Arabidopsis thaliana: one gene and its partners. The protein of the gene in region 2 binds, or shares a complex with, the protein of the main gene of each other region. Each region holds a gene or a part of one and is shown on either strand. Other genes may lie near its edges.

What was found.
Region 1: NdhM (region 2) and NdhT share a complex: the UniProt entries of both Arabidopsis thaliana proteins name them as parts of the chloroplast NDH complex.
Region 3: NdhM (region 2) and NdhS share a complex: the UniProt entries of both Arabidopsis thaliana proteins name them as parts of the chloroplast NDH complex.
Region 4: NdhM (region 2) and PnsB4 share a complex: the UniProt entries of both Arabidopsis thaliana proteins name them as parts of the chloroplast NDH complex.

What each region holds. Positions count from the first base shown.
Region 1 is NC_003075.7:5,928,925-5,934,344, forward strand, and holds NdhT (Chaperone DnaJ-domain superfamily protein), read right to left. Parts: upstream 3,552-5,420; 5' UTR 3,229-3,551; coding exon 2,903-3,228; intron 2,817-2,902; coding exon 2,393-2,816; 3' UTR 2,186-2,392; downstream 1-2,185. UniProt on the Arabidopsis thaliana protein: NDH shuttles electrons from NAD(P)H:plastoquinone, via FMN and iron-sulfur (Fe-S) centers, to quinones in the photosynthetic chain and possibly in a chloroplast respiratory chain.
Region 2 is NC_003075.7:17,829,336-17,834,559, forward strand, and holds NdhM (subunit NDH-M of NAD(P)H:plastoquinone dehydrogenase complex), read right to left. Parts: upstream 2,285-5,224; 5' UTR 2,151-2,284; coding exon 1,698-2,150; intron 1,614-1,697; coding exon 1,413-1,613; 3' UTR 1,198-1,412; downstream 1-1,197. Other genes in the region: AT4G37920 (endoribonuclease E-like protein), read right to left, coding at 1-24, 100-265, 357-622, 799-982; SHM1 (serine transhydroxymethyltransferase 1), read right to left, coding at 2,556-2,704, 2,788-2,898, 2,980-3,091, 3,172-3,249, 3,332-3,397, 3,479-3,583, 3,671-3,868, 3,947-4,039 and 6 more. UniProt on the Arabidopsis thaliana protein: NDH shuttles electrons from NAD(P)H:plastoquinone, via FMN and iron-sulfur (Fe-S) centers, to quinones in the photosynthetic chain and possibly in a chloroplast respiratory chain.
Region 3 is NC_003075.7:12,418,765-12,423,778, forward strand, and holds NdhS (NAD(P)H-quinone oxidoreductase subunit S), read right to left. Parts: upstream 2,701-5,014; 5' UTR 2,582-2,700; coding exon 1,829-2,581; 3' UTR 1,650-1,828; downstream 1-1,649. Other genes in the region: AT4G23885 (uncharacterized protein), read left to right, coding at 708-777, 1,129-1,274, 1,459-1,476; AT4G23895 (Pleckstrin homology (PH) domain-containing protein), read left to right, coding at 4,119-4,246, 4,332-4,437, 4,533-4,615, 4,696-4,759, 4,844-4,961. UniProt on the Arabidopsis thaliana protein: NDH shuttles electrons from NAD(P)H:plastoquinone, via FMN and iron-sulfur (Fe-S) centers, to quinones in the photosynthetic chain and possibly in a chloroplast respiratory chain.
Region 4 is NC_003070.9:6,457,490-6,463,506, reverse strand, and holds PnsB4 (NDH dependent flow 6), read right to left. Parts: upstream 3,105-6,017; 5' UTR 2,883-3,104; coding exon 2,817-2,882; intron 2,741-2,816; coding exon 2,699-2,740; intron 2,664-2,698; exon of another isoform or gene 2,612-2,663; coding exon 2,434-2,611; intron 2,334-2,433; coding exon 2,278-2,333; intron 2,190-2,277; coding exon 2,118-2,189; coding exon of another isoform or gene 2,043-2,117; exon of another isoform or gene 1,664-2,042; coding exon of another isoform or gene 1,658-1,663; exon of another isoform or gene 1,514-1,657; coding exon 1,400-1,513; 3' UTR 1,163-1,399; downstream 1-1,162. Other genes in the region: AT1G18720 (ER membrane protein, putative (DUF962)), read left to right, coding at 3,849-4,211, 4,994-5,056, 5,164-5,235, 5,365-5,487. UniProt on the Arabidopsis thaliana protein: NDH shuttles electrons from NAD(P)H:plastoquinone, via FMN and iron-sulfur (Fe-S) centers, to quinones in the photosynthetic chain and possibly in a chloroplast respiratory chain.

The DNA of each region.
Region 1 (5,420 bases), about 12 Mb from region 2:
GCAGTCATTTTCCTTTTTTATCAGATAACATTTACTTTATCGACTCTACTTTCTTCATACACCATCAACAAATGTAATATGTAAACATTTTTTTACCCTGCTAATTCGTATATTATCATGATATTTTCAAAATTATCGATAATCCAAAGTTATCAGCGACATCTTCTTTCCTGTTTTCAAAACCATGGTAAAAGTTTTGTTATCGACTGTTTTTTTCAAAAAAATGATAAGGAGCTATATATATATATATATATATATATATAGGTACACACCTAAGACTTAAATGCTTTGTGTCTCTTTCTTATAGGTACAATATATCTCGCGGAAGAAGGCTACTGATTCTTTGTTTGTATAGGGGCAATTATGTCATATTTAATTTACAAGAAAATTTCCACCTAAATAACTAAATGATATGTGTAGATCCTTAATTATATATTCTTCCATGTATAGATATTTCATTCACCCTTTTGTTTATCATTCATAAACTATAATCCGCAGTAGTGCGAATTAAAAAAAAAAAAAGTTTGCGGTGTACTAACTACAGATAACTTTTACGTAGAATTTTTTTTATCCGCATGCGATTTATCGTCCGCTCTAAAAATAAAGTGGTTTTGTCTGTTAGCGATTTAGTGTGCTTTTTTCATTGCATCCATTGAAACCAAAATAGAATACAATAGACTAAGGCCTTGAATGTTTTGTAGATTTTGTAAGAGTTTTTAGATTTTGTTTTTCAAAAACTTATTTTTATACCAATCAAGATTATAAAATTTTGGTTTCCCTACAATTTAGAAAAACTATTTTGTTGTAGTTTTTGATTCATGATTTTAATTTTATAGTTTTCCTAAAACTTAGGGAATCTAGTTTTTACTCCATCAACGTTATTTTTCTCAAAAACTAAAAACCAATTTTTTGGGGTTTTTAAAACAAAAATATAATAACAAAAATCTAAAACTAAAATCTAAAATCTAGAAACTAAAATCTAAATCCAAAAACTGAATCGAAAATCAGCATCCATTCAGGGTCTAAACCAAAAATAAATCATCGAATCATAAATAATTTTTAGTTTTGATGGATTTTTGAGAAAAAAAATATTTAAAAATATTATTAATCTTGAATTTTACAAAAGAAACTTGAAGTCTAAAAATATTATTAATCTTGTAAGGACTGTCAAATGCTTTTAAAGTCTTAACAGTCCAATGTCAATCACCCCCTAAATAAATACTAGTGGTCATAGAAGTAGGAACCACTTTCCCCTATCTCCATTTTTGTATGAATCCATGATTCCATATTCACGTCCATGTTGTATACCCTATTTAAGTATAAAAATAAGAAGATAATCACATAATTTTTCTACCAAAAGACTATTGTTCTTATCAATTTCCATATCCTTGTTTTTCATTTTGTATCAGAACAAAAATTCGTACAATGACTACGAATAACAAGGACACACTTGATCAACTTAAAGTAAGCTTTGACGACGTCCAAGAGAAGCTCGTGAAGATGCATGTAGAAGTAGAAGTCAATGAGAAATTTGCTCACATTGAAGCCTCGCTAAAACAGTTCATTGAGACAATGACAACACAAGCCATGTTCCAAATCAAAATGTGATCGACGACATTTAGTACTTAACCGTTGACGTCTCAATTTGGGTTTCCAGTGAAAGGCTTATAGTGCTTAGTGTGCAGACAATTTTGGCTTCTTCACGTGCTATCACCCTTCATTTACTCAAACTAGTCTGAAAGAACAACAAAATCCTTTATCACTTCATCTAGTTCTATTAGCTTATGTGCGTTTGTTATGCGGATGGACTGAAGTTTGCTTGATAAATTATGCTTCATGTTTTTCTTTTGTCATGGGACCATTTATAGTCTTTTGATTATACTCTTAAACTGTTTTCATTTTTAGTGAAATATTTACATCTTAGGAAAAAAAGAAAAAAAAACGTAGTCAAAATGTGCATCGAACAGTTCTAAGGAACACGTCTAAGGAGGATTGAGTCAGGTGCTACATATATATAAGACTTGATAAAAGGGTATTGTTGCAAAAGGTAGTGAAAAAAGGGTAGTTTTGCAAATCTCCCTAGTTTTTATTCCTACTATACTTCCCAAACTAGTGAATTCCGCATTAGTTATCAAAACTACTATTTTGTTCGCTTTGTTTTATATAAATGAGACTATTTGGATTAGCTAGGTAAGCATAACAAAATATAGCTCTAAAACAATGTTTGGATAGCTTAGAAAAAATCCAAAAATAACACACACACAAAAAAGGTGAGGAACAGAACCACTAGACCACTTTATTTTAGTTCAAATGATCTTATAATCTGTAATTGTTAATCTTCCATCTACATATAAACTATATGAATTTTCCAAGTATATACAAAGCTCCTTACCTAGTAAGAAGGATCTTTGAAAACAATCACAAAAGCTATACAACAAACAGCGAATAATACGATCAAAATATCGAACGTGAGAGCAGTCATTGCTTGATCACTAAGCTCCATGTTTCTTCCACCTAACCGGTCAACCATATCAGGTATTGATTCATAGCCCCTAAAATCTTGCTCTTTCGGATCCTCTAGCTTCATTCTCATTTTCTCAGCTTGACGACTCGCAACTTCTTGAGCCAGTGTCCAGTCATAAAACCTCCGAGTCTCTTCATCGCTCAAAACATTGTACACTTCTCTTAATTTCATGAACTTTTCTGAAGCTGTTTTAAGTGGTAGTGAAGTTGTATCTGGATGATACTCTTTAGATAATCTCCGGTACGCAGATTTTATCTCTTCTAGATCAGCATCCGTTGAAACACCTAAGAATCTGAAAATGATTATTGTTACATGTTACAATACATATTGAAAAATAAAAATAAAAAGATATGTAATGAGAATGTTTGTTTTGCTCACTGGTAATGAGAATCAAAAGAGTCTTTGATTAGTTCTGCAAATTTTTCGTCACTAAGGAGATTGGTTTTGTCCTCATCAACCGATTTGGCCGGGTCGGATCTTCCTCCGATCCAGCCTTCGTCCGGGCTTTCCCAGTGGATTCTTGTGTCTACTCCTGGAGATGGTTTTGACGGTTTAGTCGGGCCTTGTGACGCGTATATACGCGTCACTCTTCTTGCTGTTATCCTTCTAAATGCTTTCGTGTCATCCGTGAAATGCGCGCCGTTTTGGATTTTGGGTAGGATAATGCATGAGGTTCGTGCATAGGTAGAAGTTGCATAAGCCATGGCTCTGTGTTGAAGATGGTTTGTTCTTTTTTTTTCTGCCCTTCATGTTTTTGGTTTCTCTTACCGCAGAAACTTGTTCCAGAACCTCATGATATGTGTGGTGTAGATTTTCTTTATATCTTTTGTTGTCCTATCTAGTGTCCATAGGAACAAAAAATTTAAATAATTAAATGTCAACAAAAAAAAAGTATGAAACGTAAAGATATAAGAGACAAAACGTTGAGAAGAGAGGGGCAATGAGAGGAAGAAATAATGTAGAGATAAATGATTTCTTTCTTTGGAAGCGATGTCTAAATATGTTATGCAACAAATGTGTGCGTTTGTAATATATATAGGGTAAAAATAGACAATTGTATCATAATTAGGATATGACCCGCGATATACCGTAAATTAAATTTATTTATTTATTTTTCTTTATCACAAAATATAATTTGTTGTTTGTTGTTGTTTGTGATGATTAATAATTATCGATAAGGTTGTGTATGTTTTTTATTGAGTCACAATTATGATATTAATAAGTCTAATATATGTTATTTTATCTTTTAGGATTTGACTTGTGATAGACCATACCACGGGATAATATTTTATTTTATTCATAATTTGTTATAAAAAAATTATTTAATATAAACTTTTGGTGTTTTCAAATTTAATCCATGGAACATATGTAGTTTAGTAACTTTATATTAAAATTACACATTTAAATGTATCAAAGAAGAATAACATTTAGAGGTGTCAAAGAAGATTAACACTTATACTAAAATGTTGATTTTATTTATTTTTTTGTAACTAAAAATTTGAAATTAAAATTGTATTTGTTATGTTATTATTGTTTGTTTTGTTTACTATTGTATAGTTGTAATTTGATTGTTAATTCTAGGAGTACACCCGTGGTATCCAAATTTTTCCCATCTAAACTCATAGCACCATATAATCTCGTCTCATCCAAACCCGTCCTACCATGTAAACTCGTCTCCTGTAAACCCGTCCCGCCATATAAATCCGTCCCGTGATAACTAAAAATCAAATTGTTCTTTTTCTTTTTAATAATATTTTTATTTAATATACTTCGAGTCGGTTTACAATTTCAATTTAAAAAGAAAAATTGTATAATATATTGAAATTTTAACAATTTCAATCTAATAAGAATCAATATCGGATCGTTTCGAAGATTTTATATCGAATTCTTTGAACAAAAAATAACACAATTTCTTGTTAAATATTTTGTATCTTTTAAATTAATGTATTTCCTATTTGTATATTTTATATTCAATATATTTGGTTTTGATATAAATTAGAAAATCCGTTTAAATAATTATTAAAATTTGAATCCCGAAGATATTTATGTGATTTTTTATAATTTAAAGATTGTTGTTGAGATTTTTTAGTGTCTATTTTTTGTTGCATTTATTTGTTTGCAAGGTCTATCATAATTAAGGTGAAGTTACAAAAAGATCTGTAAAGTATAATATCGTTCACATATTGATTATAGAATTATTTAGATTATTTTTAAAAAGGAAAAAATTACAACATATGCCATATTTTTTCCAATCCTTATGCAATCTGCCATAATTTGCTGGGCCTTACAACTCATGTCATATTTCATACTGAAATATCGATTTTGTCCCTCTCCATTTCTTCTCTATTTTATCTCTCCTTCCTTGAAATCTGTGCGCTTTAACCATATATTATTATCTTCCCGAAGATGAAGCGCTTTTGTCACTCTCTCACTTTCTTTGACAACCTGCACAGATTCTTTACATGTAACTTTCAATTAAATTTGTCTCTCAATTTTATTCATCACAATATTTCTGTTGTATCTAGATCTTGTCCTTGATTTCATCATTTTTTACCATCTATTTTGGTCCACAGATTAGTTGAGCATTATTGTTTTCACCGACACGATTTTTTTTTCTTCTATTGTAAAACAACAAAAATATTCAGTTATTACATATTATCTTGTCTATCATTCGATCTGACTTTGTCCCCGATCCAATTCTATTACTCATTCGATATGAACTTGTCCCGATATAACATATTATTAAAATATGTTAACGTGTAGGTGAAGACAATAACGCTCAACTAATCTGTGGATCAAAATAGATCGCAAAAATTTAAATAAAATTCAAAATTATTAAATGAGAACAATTGCATATAAGATGTAGGATTCATAATAATAGAGCAAGATGGTGAAA
Region 2 (5,224 bases):
ATCTAGTTGCAAGCCTCGCAACAGCTGCTCAAAAATAACAAAACAATCATGAAACTGTGGGAATCAATAAGTAAGCAACATGATTAATGTTTTAAGTACCATCTCGGTCTTCCAAGCCATCAAGAGTTTCTGATAACAAAGTAACATAGCGGAAAAACTCTCCCGTAAAGTCTCTGCGTCTCTTGGCAGCGATTGCGTTTATGTCTGTTGGGTTTTCTTGAATCTCCTTCAAAAGGTCATTGTGTTTCTCCATTTCCTTATCTATCTGCAACAATACTCACTCCTATAAGTACACAACAACAACAATAAACTAACCTGAGTTCACTAATAAACACAAAATACAACACTATAAATACCTTCTTGACTTTACTTTCCAAAGATACCAGTTTCTGCTTCAATATAGGATCAGTTTCGGTATCAGCTCGGATTCTGCAACGCTTATAGAAATTAACACTGTACTTGTTCCATTCATCTCTTAAAACCAAATACGTCTTCCATTGTTTAACTTTAGGTTTCTCATTCAAGAAGAGATCAATAATCTTGTCACAAAACTGAGCCATAGTGTAACCTTCAGCAACCTCAACTTCCATTGGATCCTCAACAGAGCTTTTTACTTCCGCACCTAAACACAAAATTTCTATCTTCAATAAAAAAAGCTTCTCTAACTAGACGAATCCTAGTCTATGAAAAGGGTTTAGCTTATCTAATGGTGACAATTAATACAAATTGGAATCTAAAGAAATAGAATTTATTGGTAATTAGACAGAAAGATTAGAGATTTAGGGTTTATGAGCTTACTTGTAGTGCCATTGTAAGTGACAGTGTCGGTAGCAAAGGTGATAGTTGAGCTTTTGCGTATCTTTCTTCCTCCATTGATGAAAGCAGAGAAAGGGAGATGATGGGTTTGAGAATTCTTAGGCGGGAAAGACAGTAATTTATCAGCAGAGGAGAAAAAGATTGATGTTTCCAGTAAATTCGCCATTTTTTCTCCCTCACAAAGTTCGTCTTGGTGACGAACAACGAGAAACACCAGAGGATAAGAAGAACAGGGTTTTAATTGTAAATAATTAGTAAACGTTGACAAATTCAAAAACTTAATATAACTTTTTGGGTAAAAATGTTAAAACTAACAAGTTTTGCATCAGTTTGAAATCTTTTTAAAAAGAGGCAAGGAGTAAGGAACATGAATGAGCAAGACCAGAATTGAGTTTCTTTGACATTACATATTCACATGACCTTAAGACCTTACATTAACAAGAAAAGACAAAGAAACTTAAGATTGATTATTACAAAAATAATTATAGCATATGTCATGATATATACATATGTTACTTTGTGATAGACAAAATTAAAAAGCATACTACAATATATTTATATTCCCATTACATGATTATAAAATAGAGTTTGTTTCACTAAGCGTCCTCTTGAGGCTGACCATCTCCACCACCTTCAATGTTACTGGTATTGAATTGTACACGAGGCTTTCCCATACTGAAATTAAGAACTCTTGCATCCATATTGTATTGTATTTCTCCATCGAACAACATCTTCCTTATGTAATGTTCTACGTCCGATCCTATCAATCTCAATGTGTACTCCGTTAATGGTGCTCCCTGTTCAAAAACAATATTATAAGGTCTTCTTGAAATGAGTCTAACTTTTAGATGAATGTTTCGTTCGTTTATTGTTATCGTTACCTCGTAGTGATCGACGAGTTCTTGGAAATAAGAATAGACCTTGTTACAGCTTTCATCATCCCACACAAATTCTTCAGTAGGATCAAGAATCAAAGTGAGTTTATCCATTTGTGACTGGTCAAACTCACAAGTCTCTGGATCAATATAAGCAGCGTAGATCCTAACGTGACGTGTGACACTGCTTAGCCACTGACCACCAAAATCGCCCATACCCTTGCTCTTCACGTTCAGCTGTTTCTCCACTGGTCTCAATGGTGTTGGCTGCTTCTTCATCTTCTCTGTTGATTGCTCTTCTTTGAGTGTCTCTGTTTCTTGTACTTCAAGAGTACTGTCTTGTTCCGGATTTGTCACCACGAACGCCTTTTGTGTTGTTCTTGGTCGGATTTGAGCAACCATAGAAGGATGTAATAGAGAAAGCTTGGTGCAGGCAGTGTAAGAGAATGCTGCAACCATTTTTCTGTCTAAGAAATGAAAAAAAAAAAACAGAACAAGTTTTGAGATGTTGTCCGGTTACAGAACCATATTCTTGTAAAGAGATTTGATGAGGTTGAGAAATGACCACAGCTTGTGGATGAGCCTCTCCCAACTTCTAGTTTCTTATTTATCCCTTTCTCGTTTTGTTGGTATTTTGTGGTTACTCTTAAGTCACTTGTGAGCTAAAGACAATCTTCTTTAGGGAATTCACTGTTTTGTTGTATGTGTTTTTTTTGTCTAAGTATATTTCTTTTTGATGTATAGAGAGAAAATTTAACAGATCATTATTTTTCGCATAGCGTGAAAATAGAGTTTTACATGTATCATCTATACATTCCATGGGAATTCAAAGCATAACAGAAAACACTTGTGGGGTGAAACAGTTTAGTTCTTGTACTTCATGGTTTCTTTCTCAAACCCAATTGTTGGGAACTGCTTAGCGAATTCCTCGACTTCATGGCGCAGTTTCGCAATCTCGGATTGGATGGTTGAAGAGGATTCCATTGCTGACACGAAATCCTTCAACTTGGTTCCTGGTTTTAGAAACATAACAAATGAGTTCAATCATTGTATATAAGAACGGAAAGCATAGCATCGTGATCAGAGAAGTAAAAACCTTGAGCTTCAGATTTGACTTTGAGAGCTATTGTCACAGCTTTGTCGAAGTATTCAGCTACTTTGGCAAAGTCTTCCTCAACAAAGCCTCTGGAAGTGAGAGCAGGAGTACCTGAAAATAACAATGGCAGAGGATATCAAGAAGAACTCCATTCGAATACCAAAAAGAAAAATGGTTAAATGTGATTTTTACCCATTCTGATTCCACCAGGAACCATGGCAGAAACATCTCCAGGAACAGTGTTTTTGTTGGATGCAATGTGAACAGCTTCCAACACTTTCTCAACTCTAGATCCATCAATTCCCTGCAAACAAAATCGAATAAAAAATGAGTTTTAACTAAGAAATATAAAAGAAGATTATATACAAAAAAAGATCAAGTGACCTTGGGCTTTAGATTCACTAGAACCAGATGGTTGTCAGTTCCACCAGAAACAAGTTCATATCCTCTCTCCATTAGAGTCTGCACGAAACAACAATGTAGAGATATAATCAAAGTAGATACTACGCCATATGTGTTTTTCTTTCCTTCACGGGATTAGTACCTGAGCAAACTTTGCACTGTTACTCAGGACTTGTTCTTGGTATGCTTTGTACTCTGAAGTAGTTGCCTGCATTTTCAAACCATTTGAAGGTTACAGAAACCGCAAATCCAATAAGCAACGTTAGTTCCATTCCGTGCCTCACCGTACCTGTTTCAAAGCAACAGCTAGTCCTGTGATAGTGTGGTTGTGTGGACCACCTTGAAGACCAGGGAAGACAGCTTGGTTGATCTTGTCTTCAAAATCATACAAAACCTTTCAAGACAACAAATGAATGACGTGAAAGATTATACATAAATCTAAAACATTTTGGTTCAAATTTTGCTTCTTTTTCTTTTTTACCTCTTTCCCTTGCTTGTTAATTTCCTTAACACCCTTTCTGAAGAAAATCATGGCTCCACGGGGTCCACGAAGTGACTTGTGAGTTGTGGTGGTTACAACATCAGCATAGTCGAACGGTGAAGGGATTACATTAGCAGCAACCAAACCACTGATGTGTGCCATATCTGCTAGCATTACAGCTTTTTGCTTGTTACAGACCTGGGAAAAGAGTTCGAATCAAAACTCACTACTGATTACAATAATCTGTTCTGTAGTTGGATATGAGACTGAAATTACCTTTCTGATGCGGGCATAGTCATACAATCTAGCATAAGCACTTGCACCAGCAACAATCAATTTTGGCCTGAAAAGAGTAGCACTTTTCTCCATCTGCAAATCAAAATTAAAGACTTATGTATTGTTATGAAGCGGGTTAGTTATAAGTTACTATGATTGCTTAATAGAAGAGTTAAGAACCTGATCGTAGTCGATGTAGCCAGTGCTCTCGTCCAATCTATAGGGCATTGTTTCAAAGAAGATAGACACAGCTGATATCTTCTTGGTGTCAGTCTGATGAGAAATAAGAAGAAAGAAACTGTTATTCATCAGAGTCAGAGAGTTCCGAAATGACATACAAAGTTAACTTGAAGGCACCTGATAACCATGAGAAAGATGACCACCATGAGGAAGATCAAGTGCCATGATTCTTTCATGAGGCTTTAACAATGCAGTGTACACATGGAAGTTGGCAGGAGATCCAGACAAAGGTTGAACATTCACTGTAAGATCCAGTCAAATAAGCCATCAAAGGACTAATCAGATTTCTTGTTTCTCATATACATGAAAGTAGTAATTTACCTCCCCACTTTTCAGGATCTAACCGGAAAGCTTCAAGAGCGCGCTTCTGGCATAAGGTTTCTGCCATGTCTATATACCTACAAAGCAAAAGGTACTTGAGATTTCAATTCTTATTACAGAGATTGGTCAAGCAATCATGTCCTGAAACTAAATGTGTCAGATTGAAAATTCCTGAACATACTCATTTCCTCCATAGTATCTGGCACCAGGATAGCCTTCACTGTATTTGTTAGTCATGACAGACCCAACAGCTTGCATCACCGACACAGATGTGAAGTTCTCAGATGGAATAAGTTCAAGTCCCTATAATAACACAAGCGTTACAAACATCAGCCTAACTTATAATAATCAATCAAGGAACAAGATTTAAGAGATAGTAATCTCAGAGACAAACTAACCTTCCATTGTCTAGCTTTCTCATGCTCAATAATGTCAGCAATCTCAGGATCAACCTCCTCTAAAGGTGCGTTAAGCTGTTTTGGCCACTGAAACGAACGTTTACAAAGACATAAGTTTCATTAGATTCAGTCACACCAAAAATAGAACTCCATACATCAATTTGAAACAGACATAGAACTTCAACAATCAAAACCATTGCTTCAACCACAAGGAAAACTATAAACAAACAAGAGATACAAAAAGGCGCTTAAACTCACAGTGACACGAGATCTTTCCTTCTCATCAACAGCTTCACTGGGCAAAGAAGACTGCAACGGA
Region 3 (5,014 bases), 5.4 Mb from region 2:
TAAGGTATATGAAGAAATGCAAATGAATGATTTCCACAATAAGGCAGACTAGAAAACACATATAGACAATTAACTTGATAAACTTTTTTTTCGGCCGGACTCATGTTTTAAATGATACCAAAAATAAACATATCTTGTTGGGAAATTAGTAAATATTTTATCAATTTATTAGGATTTTTTATAGAAACGTATATATTATTTAGTGTAGACAATAGAGAGAAACAAAGAAGTGGTTAATACTTTTATTGAGATAACGCGTTGAAAGCTTACCAAATTTTGGTGGATTACGACCAACCACCCAAAAAGATTTTTACGCTTGACTAAGTCCTGGTTCTCTCTTAGTCTCTACCCTTTGCTATCAAACATTCAGTCTGAATCTGAGATTAACATAATTATGGCAATTAATGGCACTCAAACAAAAAACACGATTGAGTCAAAAACAAAAAAGAAATTCCTAGTTTGATTTTTATTTATGGTTTTGACTTGAGAGGGATTTTTTTTGTCCCAACAGAGAAACGAACATTGTGAGGCTTTTAAATGGGTCATATAGACTTATCTGGGCCTAACCACAAAAAATGGCCCACTTTTGGAGAAACTTTGAAAATAAACCCGAAGGTTCGGGAAAATACAGAGAGAGAAAATTTCCAGTCGCCGTCGTCAACATTCTCCTTTTGGTACACAGACGAGAACGAAAGAGCGAAAAGAAGATGAACGTAGTTCACGGTTTGAAGAGGATTCCTCGCATCAAATTCCCTCAGAGACATATTAATCCTTCAGGTTTTCGATTATCCATGAAACTCTCTACACAGAATCTATGTTATTTTTTCCACAATTTTGCTCGGCTTTTTCTCGCTTGATTCGAATTTTTTTTGTGTACGGTTTCATTTTCATGAATCAGATATGAGATTGTATTCATTTGGCTGTGAATTTTTGCTTTCCGATCTATTTCGCTCTGATTGATTTGCATTTACATAGTTAGATTCAAAGGATACACAGATTTGTTTAGCCATTGAATCGAATCGTGTTTGTTATCAAATCTCGAATCATTATAGAGAAGCTCTTATGTTTTTTAGCTTTTGGTTTGGGTAATCATCTGTTTGTTATGCGATTTACTTTCTGGCATTGCAGCTTCAGAGGGAAAGAGTCAGGTGGCAAATGAAGCTGATACATTGTTCTTCTCCAATTTGAACAACATCCAAAAGACTACTGGCGGGAAGGCATCATCGCAGCCAAAGCGCACGCCAGTTTCAAACGAAGAAATGGAAGCCATTTTGGTATGTAACTTCATTTTGACATGTATAACAACACTTAGATGAACATGTATCTAACAGTATAATGTGTGACCAACTACTAAGTTATAATTATGTGACCAATTACAAGTTGAGAGAACCCTTTTCATGATTTAATAATATTGTTCTGTTTCTAACTTCCTTATCCTTTTCTGAATTTTTTTTACAGTTGGGAGGCTGCATCTGATCATTTCAACATGATCTGTTGACAAGAATGGTGGATCACTTCTCATCTTTACCATTTACAGAATATACTCGATAGTCAAGAAGAAACTGATATGGTTGATGTTTACAACAACCAATGATAACAATAAAACTACTCCATTGCAGTTTTTAACTTCTATACTGATTCATCATTGATTGAGTGCATTTGAATCTCTATTATTAAGTGCTTTATGATTGAAATTCATCGTTTATTCTTTTTTTTATATCACATGATGAAGCTCTTTTAGAACCAGTCAGAAATATTGTAGCCTAAAACGCAAAGGTACGTTACATATACATTCACAGGAACTTACATACAGAGAAGAGAAGATCACTTATGGTGCTGCCTCTTCCTTTTGCATCTGTTCGATAAGAGGCTCGAGAATACAAGACTTTGGATTCTTACCCGGTGGACCTTTTTCTCTTCGTTCAAGCTCTTCAAGCCTGAAAGTAATGAGACGGTCCCAGTTTCCTCCTTCGAACAAGACACCAGCTTTTCCATCAGTGATCCTCTGCACAATTCCACAATACATGTGATACGGACTGTTCTGGTTCTTGACTATAGCAATCATCCCCGGCATGAGAAGGGGTAGCTTGGGCGCTTTCGGCTTCTTATCTGTAGCAACCGCGGATGCATCGCTTCCTTGTTTTGCAGGTGGTGGTGGTGGAGGAGGTGGTGGATTTTTTTCGATAAACGTTTTTAAACCCTTTTCGCCACCGGGAAATCCTCCTGTGAGACCCATCATCTCTTTCTCGAAACCATCTTCAGGTACTTTAAAAGACAAGTTACTGTCATCGCTCTCTCTCTCTGTCTCGTTGTTCTCAGCCTTTGATGTCTCTTGCTCGTCTTCAATGTTCCTCTGGAGCTCCTTCTCAATACCTTTCTCTCCGTTGCATAATCCTCTTCCTCCCATCACTTCCCATAGATTGAATTTACCCATGGCCTTTACTTGATACAGTTTTGACTGCTGTTTTGGAGGCGGGAAAACCGACCGGTTTACAGTTGAAAATTGATGTGTTTGGCCTAGAAATTTTGATCGATGAATCGGAGTTCTAATGGTCGGGATAGTGATCGAAGAAGTCGCCATAACTATTTTTGCCTGCAGAGTAGAGTAGAGGTGACTAAGGGAGATATGAAGAAGATGGAAGAGGAAGGAAGAAGCGTGTGATTGATTCGCTTGTTATAATGACCACATATCATGATTTCAGTTAGATGAGTTCTATCTATTTCCAAATTACCAGTGGACCTGAACCGGTTAATGCGTAACCGGTGTTTGGAATAATGATTTAGGAGAAAGAGTAGGAACATTTGGGCTTTGTCATAAGTTTAACCTGGACCAAGTTTGAATATTCTTAAGAGATATGGGCCTAGATTAAAAACAATGGTAATGTAATTAAACATATTGCTAAATGCTAATAATGTGGATTTGTTTGTTTATTAAGAAAAAAGCAGCAAGAAGAAGATAAATCATTTGGGTCAACGACATTAATAATTGGAATCCCATACTCCCAAATCATAATTAGACATACACTTTTGTCTTAGGCTGTCCTTTACACTCATCGGCATCACCAAATACTTAGTTGGCAACTTTGATCAATTAATGTATTAAGCATGAATGAAAACAACTTTTACATTGATTCGATAAATTCATTATATTGTAGATAAGATTAGTCAAAAGTTTACAAACATTCGTTAACAAATTACAAAACTTGTAATATCTGCAGCAATGCCCATGTGGGTAGAGCTGGCTGACGCAACCTAACCGGGGGATAAAAGCGTCTTTTTGGTACCAAATTTAAAGTTTCTTTATGAGTAAAATTCCCAAACCCAACATCTTCTTCCTGCTGAAGCAGTAAGCACTCAACCAAAAAACCAATTGCGTAAACACTTTCCCTTGAATACAGAGATCACATTCGATCAGGTAAAAACAAGGTCTCGATCTTCTCTTCAGTCAATTTTTTCAAATTATTCGAGGTTCCCGTCATTCGATTCCGACTTCCGAGCTTCTATTTCTGCTCAATGTTTTTGTATTTTGTTAGGGTTTCCAGAAAATTCGATTCTGTTGTTTTTAATTTGAGCTAATAAAATCTAGAATGGGAAAAAGAAAGAGTTCATTTTCGTCCTCTTTCTTTTTGTAGAAGCTGAACTTTGTTTTTCTTTTACAGCGAGCTGATTTCTCACAAGGGATATCAAAATTTCTGGTGAAGTGGGATTGTAAAATTCGGCGTTGAAAGATATATAAAGAGGTATGTTTGATCCTCAGTGAGGAATAAGGATTTTTAGTAGTTATATATCTCTCCAAGTGATGATACATACATACTTGTGGATTAGATCTATGATAAGAATAAGCATAAGATAGAGACTGAGAGACAAGTCATTTAGGGAGATTAAATAATGTTCATGGAATGCTAAAGTTCATATAGGAGTTTGTCTCATATCAGAATCTAGATTAGATCATGCTCAGATGACATCTCTTGAATGGACAAAAAAGTTTTTAACTATGTGATTTTTTCGACTTCTTTTGGGGAATCAATGTACTACAAGCTGAGAGTTTTAGAGTAGTTTCATCTCTGGCTAAGCTTTGATTCATTTTCTAGTGGAAGGTTCTGGAGTCGTTTCAATTCATGGATGATGGTACTCCTAAGAAGCTAAACATATTACCTGATCACTTTAGTGCTCCTAGTCCCACAGCAGAATCTTCTCAGCACGATACTCCATCATCTTCGCAGCCAAAGGACGATAGTTCTCTGAGGTAAATTGTTAGCGAATAAATATGCTAAGAAGGGAAATTCTGAGCTGAAATGAATTGTTTTTTCGGGTGGTTTTGTTTAGAGTAGGCCTTATAGCCAGTCACGGACTCGCAGAAACCTGAAAAGAGCAGCAACTATGTTGAATTTGTTCACTCTTCGCCGTCTGCCTTGGGTTTCAGATGGTCAAGAGAAGGTTCCATTCTCTCACACCTTTCTTCTTTGTTTTTGATTCACCTCATTGAAGTTTCAGGGTTTTCTCCTGAATCCTGATCACTCTCTCATTGGCAGGTCGAGCTATCAGCAGCGGAGTTAGAATCACTTAGATCAGAACTTTCTGATATGGAAGAAAGAGAAGCTTACCTCAAAGCCCAGTAAGTCATATACTCAAATTTGTTCCATTCTCAGATTAAAAGCGCATATCTCAATTTCTTCTTGCTGAACTGCTACATAGGTTGGAACATGTGGATGAAGTCTTGCGCTCTGCCCGTTTATCTGGTTATTTGTTTATCAGAAGTGTAGGGCCTTACTCTGAATTACTTATCATTATTGATCCACTAGGATGTTTTACAAATTTGCCTTATTTTTTTGTTTGACTTTAGCGTTGGGCAGCTCTTCCGGGTGAACCACCACCAATAGATGATACAGAAGTAGACGACTGGCTTCCTCGGTTTGTCGTCCTTCAAGGCCCTTGTCTTTTCTTCTATTTATTGTCAACAGGTGAGTTAAGGTTCAGCTTTTACAATCCTGTTTCAAATTTGTATTCTTCTTGT
Region 4 (6,017 bases), on a different chromosome or scaffold from region 2:
GTTCTAGAATGCTCAAGGACACAAAAATGTTGACATGTAATTTTGTCTATATCCTTTTTTTTTTTGGTTTAATGTTAAACTTTACACCAAATAAAAAAAAAGGTGTACATTGTACAATGAAAATCTCAAAAACACACCAAAAAAGGCTAATATAACATTTTATTAAAAGAGATAACTATGAGTTGTATCACAACTAATGAGGTGAATTGATAGAACCAAAGTAAAACTCAAGGAGAGAAATGCTGATAGTGATATCCTCCAGCGAGAAGGAGATGAGACGACTGCGTATAGTGCGTAACAAGAGACTCAGTAGCATGGATGGTACTAGATTCATTTGAGAAAATCGTTTTATTACGCTCATTATTAATCAGATAGATCGAGGTTTGAAGAAGGAGTTTCAAGATCTTACTTACAAAATGTGGAGGTGTGGATTGAACATTCAAGATCCACAAGGAGGCTGACGGAAACGAGATTGTCTATATAATCGTATGATAGTATAAATTTTGTGTTGAAATGTGTAATGGTGTTTTTTGGTAACCGAAAATTGAAATGTATTATTATGAAACTGTATAATGAAAAAAAATAATTATAATGGAATATGGTAAATATGTGTCATTAACAAGTCATCAATCATGTTTGGGCCAGAATTAAAATTGTACAACTATAAGAATTAATTGACACACGACAAAATACACTACATGCAGTGATGCAGATCTTTTTTTTGTTTAAATAAAAATGTTACATCATATCTCCTGTCATGTGTTCCTAACACACACACAAAAAAAAGAAATATCTGAAAATTAAACTTAAATTTGAAAAGAAAACAAAAACAATAAACCACACGTGTGGTTTACAATTACAAGCTCGAAGAGGCTTTGAAACATGGAAGCACGAAGGTTACTGACAAAGACATGACAAGCTCTCCTTCTTCACCTCTGCTAACTTATTTTTTGTTTTTAAAGATTGATTAGTTTTGGTTTTTGTCAGGTAGAATCGTGCAGAAGCGTATTTCCCGCTAATTGTTCCTCATCAGACTCACTTTCCAGTCTATACGACCAATTAATTTAGCCCCAATTGACTAAATTTTTTATACTTAAAAATAATAAATATTCACTCTGACCAACTTGCGACCGAAGAAATCAAGAAAAGCAAATTAAGATAGTTTACCAAACATAATTATTTATATTTTTAAGACATCGGATGTCGTCAACAATAAATTTCTGAAGGAGACAATTGCTCCTAACATGATCGTTCAATGATTCAGAACACAAGACAACAAAGAAGTACATAACATATATTATATATATGGAAGCTAGAGAGTATATATAATGTTGCATGACTGATATAAGAAAATATATAATGTGTATGTAAAGTGGTTTATGATTCACAAGTTAGTTTTCTACTTAGTAACAGCTTCTTCAAGCTCTCTTAAGCCACCAACCTTCTGTTCAATTTCTTCGATAAGTTCTTCACGCCATAGCTCCGCTCTTGCTTTCTCTTCTATGTCTTCTTGCTGCATCATATAACCCAAAACACAATAACAACTCTATCCAATCTTATAATAGTTGTACACATTGTGAATCTGTGATGATATACCAAAGGTCAATGGCCCGAGCAAGCCCAGCCCGACCCAACTTAGGATCAATGTTACCTACCATCAGATCTGTTAACGTTTGAATTATTATATCAAGCCCAACCCGGCTCAAACTTACTAAGCATGATTGATCTATCAATAGGATGGATCAATGTTACCTACCATCTATCAGATTGTGACTTTCGTTTAGATGATCAAGGTTGTGGATTCATATTTTTGGGTGCATATATACCAACGGTAAACGCTAACCTAAAAGCCACCTATTTTTCTTTGTTTAGGGAGGTTTATCGCATGCTGAGACACATGGAGGAGTACTCAAAACCGGCTCTGAACAGGTCTACATGGCCTACTAAGACCAAGGTGGGATAGTCTGAGGTCAAACTAGATCTGAACTGGTCCACAGGGTCTAGTAAGACCACAGCGGGTTGGTCGGTCCATTGCAACATCCCTAGTTATAATTTGTATGCATTTCTAAGTTTTTTTCTTTCTTTCCTAATAGTATTAGAAAGGGAGAGATACATACAGTTTCATAGACCCAATATCCAGTTCCATCCCCTCCATCTCCACGGTACTCCTCTGAGTCGTAGAATGGATCCTGTATTGATCCAATATCACAAAGTACTATTAAGATCCCAATGCAGCAAATGTATCAAAAGATTCAGTTTGAGTTGTTGTTTTCATACTTTTGCTGAACCGAAGTACAAACATCCCCAACAAGTGAACATGATGTAGAACATATCTGCCATATCAAGATCAATATCAAAACATAAGAAAAAGAAGAAAAAAAAGTCTAAGAAAGAAAATAAAATCTCTCAAGAAACCCCAAGTGTTTAACTTACAAACATTCTTGATAGCTTTATCACTTAGATGCCACACGTGTTTCTCTGTAATGATATCACGCATTCCTTCTATTTGTTGAACCATCACAGCCATTAATGGCAAATCATGTGGCAATGCCTTTCTTACACATAAGCTTCCTCTCATCAAATTCCTTTCCCTCTTCTCATTAACATTCTTCTAATTTTTCAAATTCTAAGACGTAAATTCACAAGAATATGGAGATTTTTTTTCTAATTTTAGTCTTAGTTAGAGAAAATTACTTACAGATAGCCAATATCCATGATTCGGTCCTGAATTCTGCTTCGGCTACAACACAATACACAATTCTTAAACTTTTTTTCGTAATGAAATATTTTTGGTAAGAATATAAAATAATATGTACCGAGTGATTGTAGGAAGAAGGAATATGAAGATTTGTGAAGGTGAAACTTGTGAAAGCTTCAGCCATTGTTACTTCTTGATGGTGGCAATGGAGAAGAAAAAAAAAAAATGTTGGTGTAATCTTTTTTATTTTTTCATTTATTTTAATCTTTAAGATTAGATTTTTTGAGGCAGAAAATGTGTGGATAAGGGAATTGGTATCGTCCACTCTTCACTTTTGTGATAAACAAAATAAAAAAATAACGTACGTTAGCAATCACATCGCATAACACTTTTTTTGTCTTTTAAAAGCCCAATTTAGACAATCACAGTACACATTTTAGCCTTCTAAAACGCTCAGGTTGGGAACAACTATTTGCCTTAAAGAGTGGTAAAGATATTTCCAGCAAAATTCAACTACAAACTTTCGTATTTTACCCGTCCAACAAACTTTCCATTCGCGCAGGTTAGCAATCACTAAACACGTTCACTCCTCTAGACGTGCAAGTTAGTAACCACACTAAAATTGCTAATAAATCTTTGGTTGGTGAAATTCAAACTTTCCGCTTATGTCTCTTCCCAAATACATCATTTGTTGAATAGCGTACGTTGGCAACTATTGCCAAACTTTTAATGATATTTCCATCTAATTCAACTTCCTATGCGCGCATGTTAGCAATCATCCCAAATACATCATTCGTTGAATAGTGTATGTTCTATTTGCCAAACTTTCAATGATGTATATCCATCTAAACCAGCTTTTATTCGCGCATGTTAGCAATCACAATAACACGTCTACTCTTCTTAGCGACTAGTATTTTGTCAAAAGTCGGAAGAAAATCTCCGGCCAAGTCAACTTCTATCGCTTTAAAAAGCGCATGTTAGCTATTAAAAAGCGCACGTTAGCATCATTTTCGGGAAATTGCTAATCAAACTTTCCACTTTCGTCTTCTTCCCGTGTATATCTTTAATCTCCTCTGTTTGGTGACTATTATCCAATTTCCACCGATCTTCTCCTCATAAAAACACCTCTTCCTCAACGAATTTTTTATCCATGAGTCGCATAATGGGATTGTTCGATCTCGAGAAACACTTCGCCTTCTACGGTGCTTACCATAGCAATCCGATCAACATTCTAATCCACATCATCTTCGTTTGGCCAATCTTCTTCTCAGTTTTACTTCTCCTCCACTCGTCGACCCCAATTTTCGACCCCTCTCAATTAGGGTTTTCTCAATCGTTGACCCTCGACGGCGTTTTGCGATTTAACGTTGGGTTTATATTCGCCTTGATTTATGCTCTGTTCTATATCGGTTTGGATAAGAAATCTGGATTTGTAGCTGCTCTTATGTGTTTCTCTTGCTGGGTTGGTTCCAGTTTTCTTGCTGTTCGACTAGGATCTTCTCTTGCCTTAAAGGTTAGATTTTTTTTCTCTAATTTCAATTTAGGGTTTTTGAAAAAACTTCATTTTTGGAGAAAATAATTGCGTAGAAGCATGTTTATGAGGGTATATGACTATGTGTATCCATGTGTTGCTCTATGTGTATATTTATATGATGTGAGTGTGGTTCATGCATTTATTGTTCATTGTTTTCTATGCTTTGACTTGAAAGTTCGTTTATATCATTGGTTATGCTCGGGGAAGAAGAAATAGATTTATTTATATCATTAGTCCTCTCTATCTGTTGTCTATGGGTCCCTTCATTAGCTGTTAACGTTGAGACAGCAGTACTAATATCATGTCTCTAGCTTTGAACATTCATGATTAGTAGTTATTGCAGTTTGTTCTGCAATTGTCCACCTTTGCACGGTTCTGATTCTTTGGTCCGGAGACTTGTCATGTTTTTAGTGTTGTTGACTCATTGGTTAAGAGGATTTGATGTGTGCTTGGACGGAAACAAGTGTTGTTCTTGACCACCAACATTTGGATGGTCTCAGATAATTAGAATCTACATCACTTGTTTAACTAAAGTTTGGTTTTTCTTCCATAGTATTTGAGACATCTGTAACTTAGGAGCTTTTTTATGTATCTTCTGTGTTGTGAATCATTTGATTAGTTTATATGTATCTTCAGTCTGAATCATTTGATTAGTTTGTTATATGTATTCAACAGCAAGGGGAAAACAGTTAATACTCACCAAGACGCCAACTCTCTCTGTTATGTAGATACTGTAACAATTTAATTGTCTTTTTACTCAGGTTGGGTTAGCATCTCAGCTGTTATGTTGGACCGGGCAGTTCGTTGGCCATGGAGTATTCGAGGTAAGTTCTCTGGCTTTTAGAAATCATTGTTTTGATTCTCCTTTGTGTCTTGTCATCCGTATACATGAGTCCTAACACATATGTTATTGATTCTTGTCTACTCACAGAAACGGGCACCTGCGCTGTTAGACAATTTACTCCAAGCTTTTCTCATGGCTCCTTTCTTCGTGTTGCTCGAGGTAAAAGTTGTTGGTGTTATGTTATGTTGTGATTTGTTTGTTATCTCCTGCTACCTTATTATACTGCTCTGTGGAAACTGTAACCAGAATACATGAAAAGCTAATGTGGAAATGTTTGAATGAATACAGGTTCTTCAATCGGTTTTCGGGTATGAACCATATCCCGGTTTTCAAGCGCGTGTGAATGCCAAGGTAGAAAGTGACATCAAGGAATATAGGGCAAAGAAGCAGAAGAAGAATAAGATCACATAAGCTTGGATTATATATAACTGAAGAACTTGAACCCATTGTCGTGTTTCTATAACCGAAATGATAATAAGACCACCATGATCCATGGATTGATGTATTTGTGTGTAAACTATGTTTCAATATATTGAATATAATATGTTTCAGTCACTCATGTTTCAAGAAAAATAAACAAAATGCGTTGCATGTATTACAATCACATATTCACAGGTCAATTGTTGTTCCGCTCGACTTGTTTTAGTCCGTTTTGAACCAATCAATTCTTTGTGTTTAACTAATGAGTAAAACTGGTAGCTTAAATATAAACTTTTATGATTCTTTATGTAATCATAAAAACACTAATACAGTATCACCTAAATTAAATTCATATTGATTAAATATGTAGCTTAGTGTTTTATTTATACTAGCTAGCTACTAATATCAGTGTATCATAATAATTAGTATATAAATTATATATAAAAAAATCCGCTTGAGGCACCTAAAATGTTTGGATTCTAAAGATAAACATCTTCTAGATTGGAATTCGGAGGTGGGAG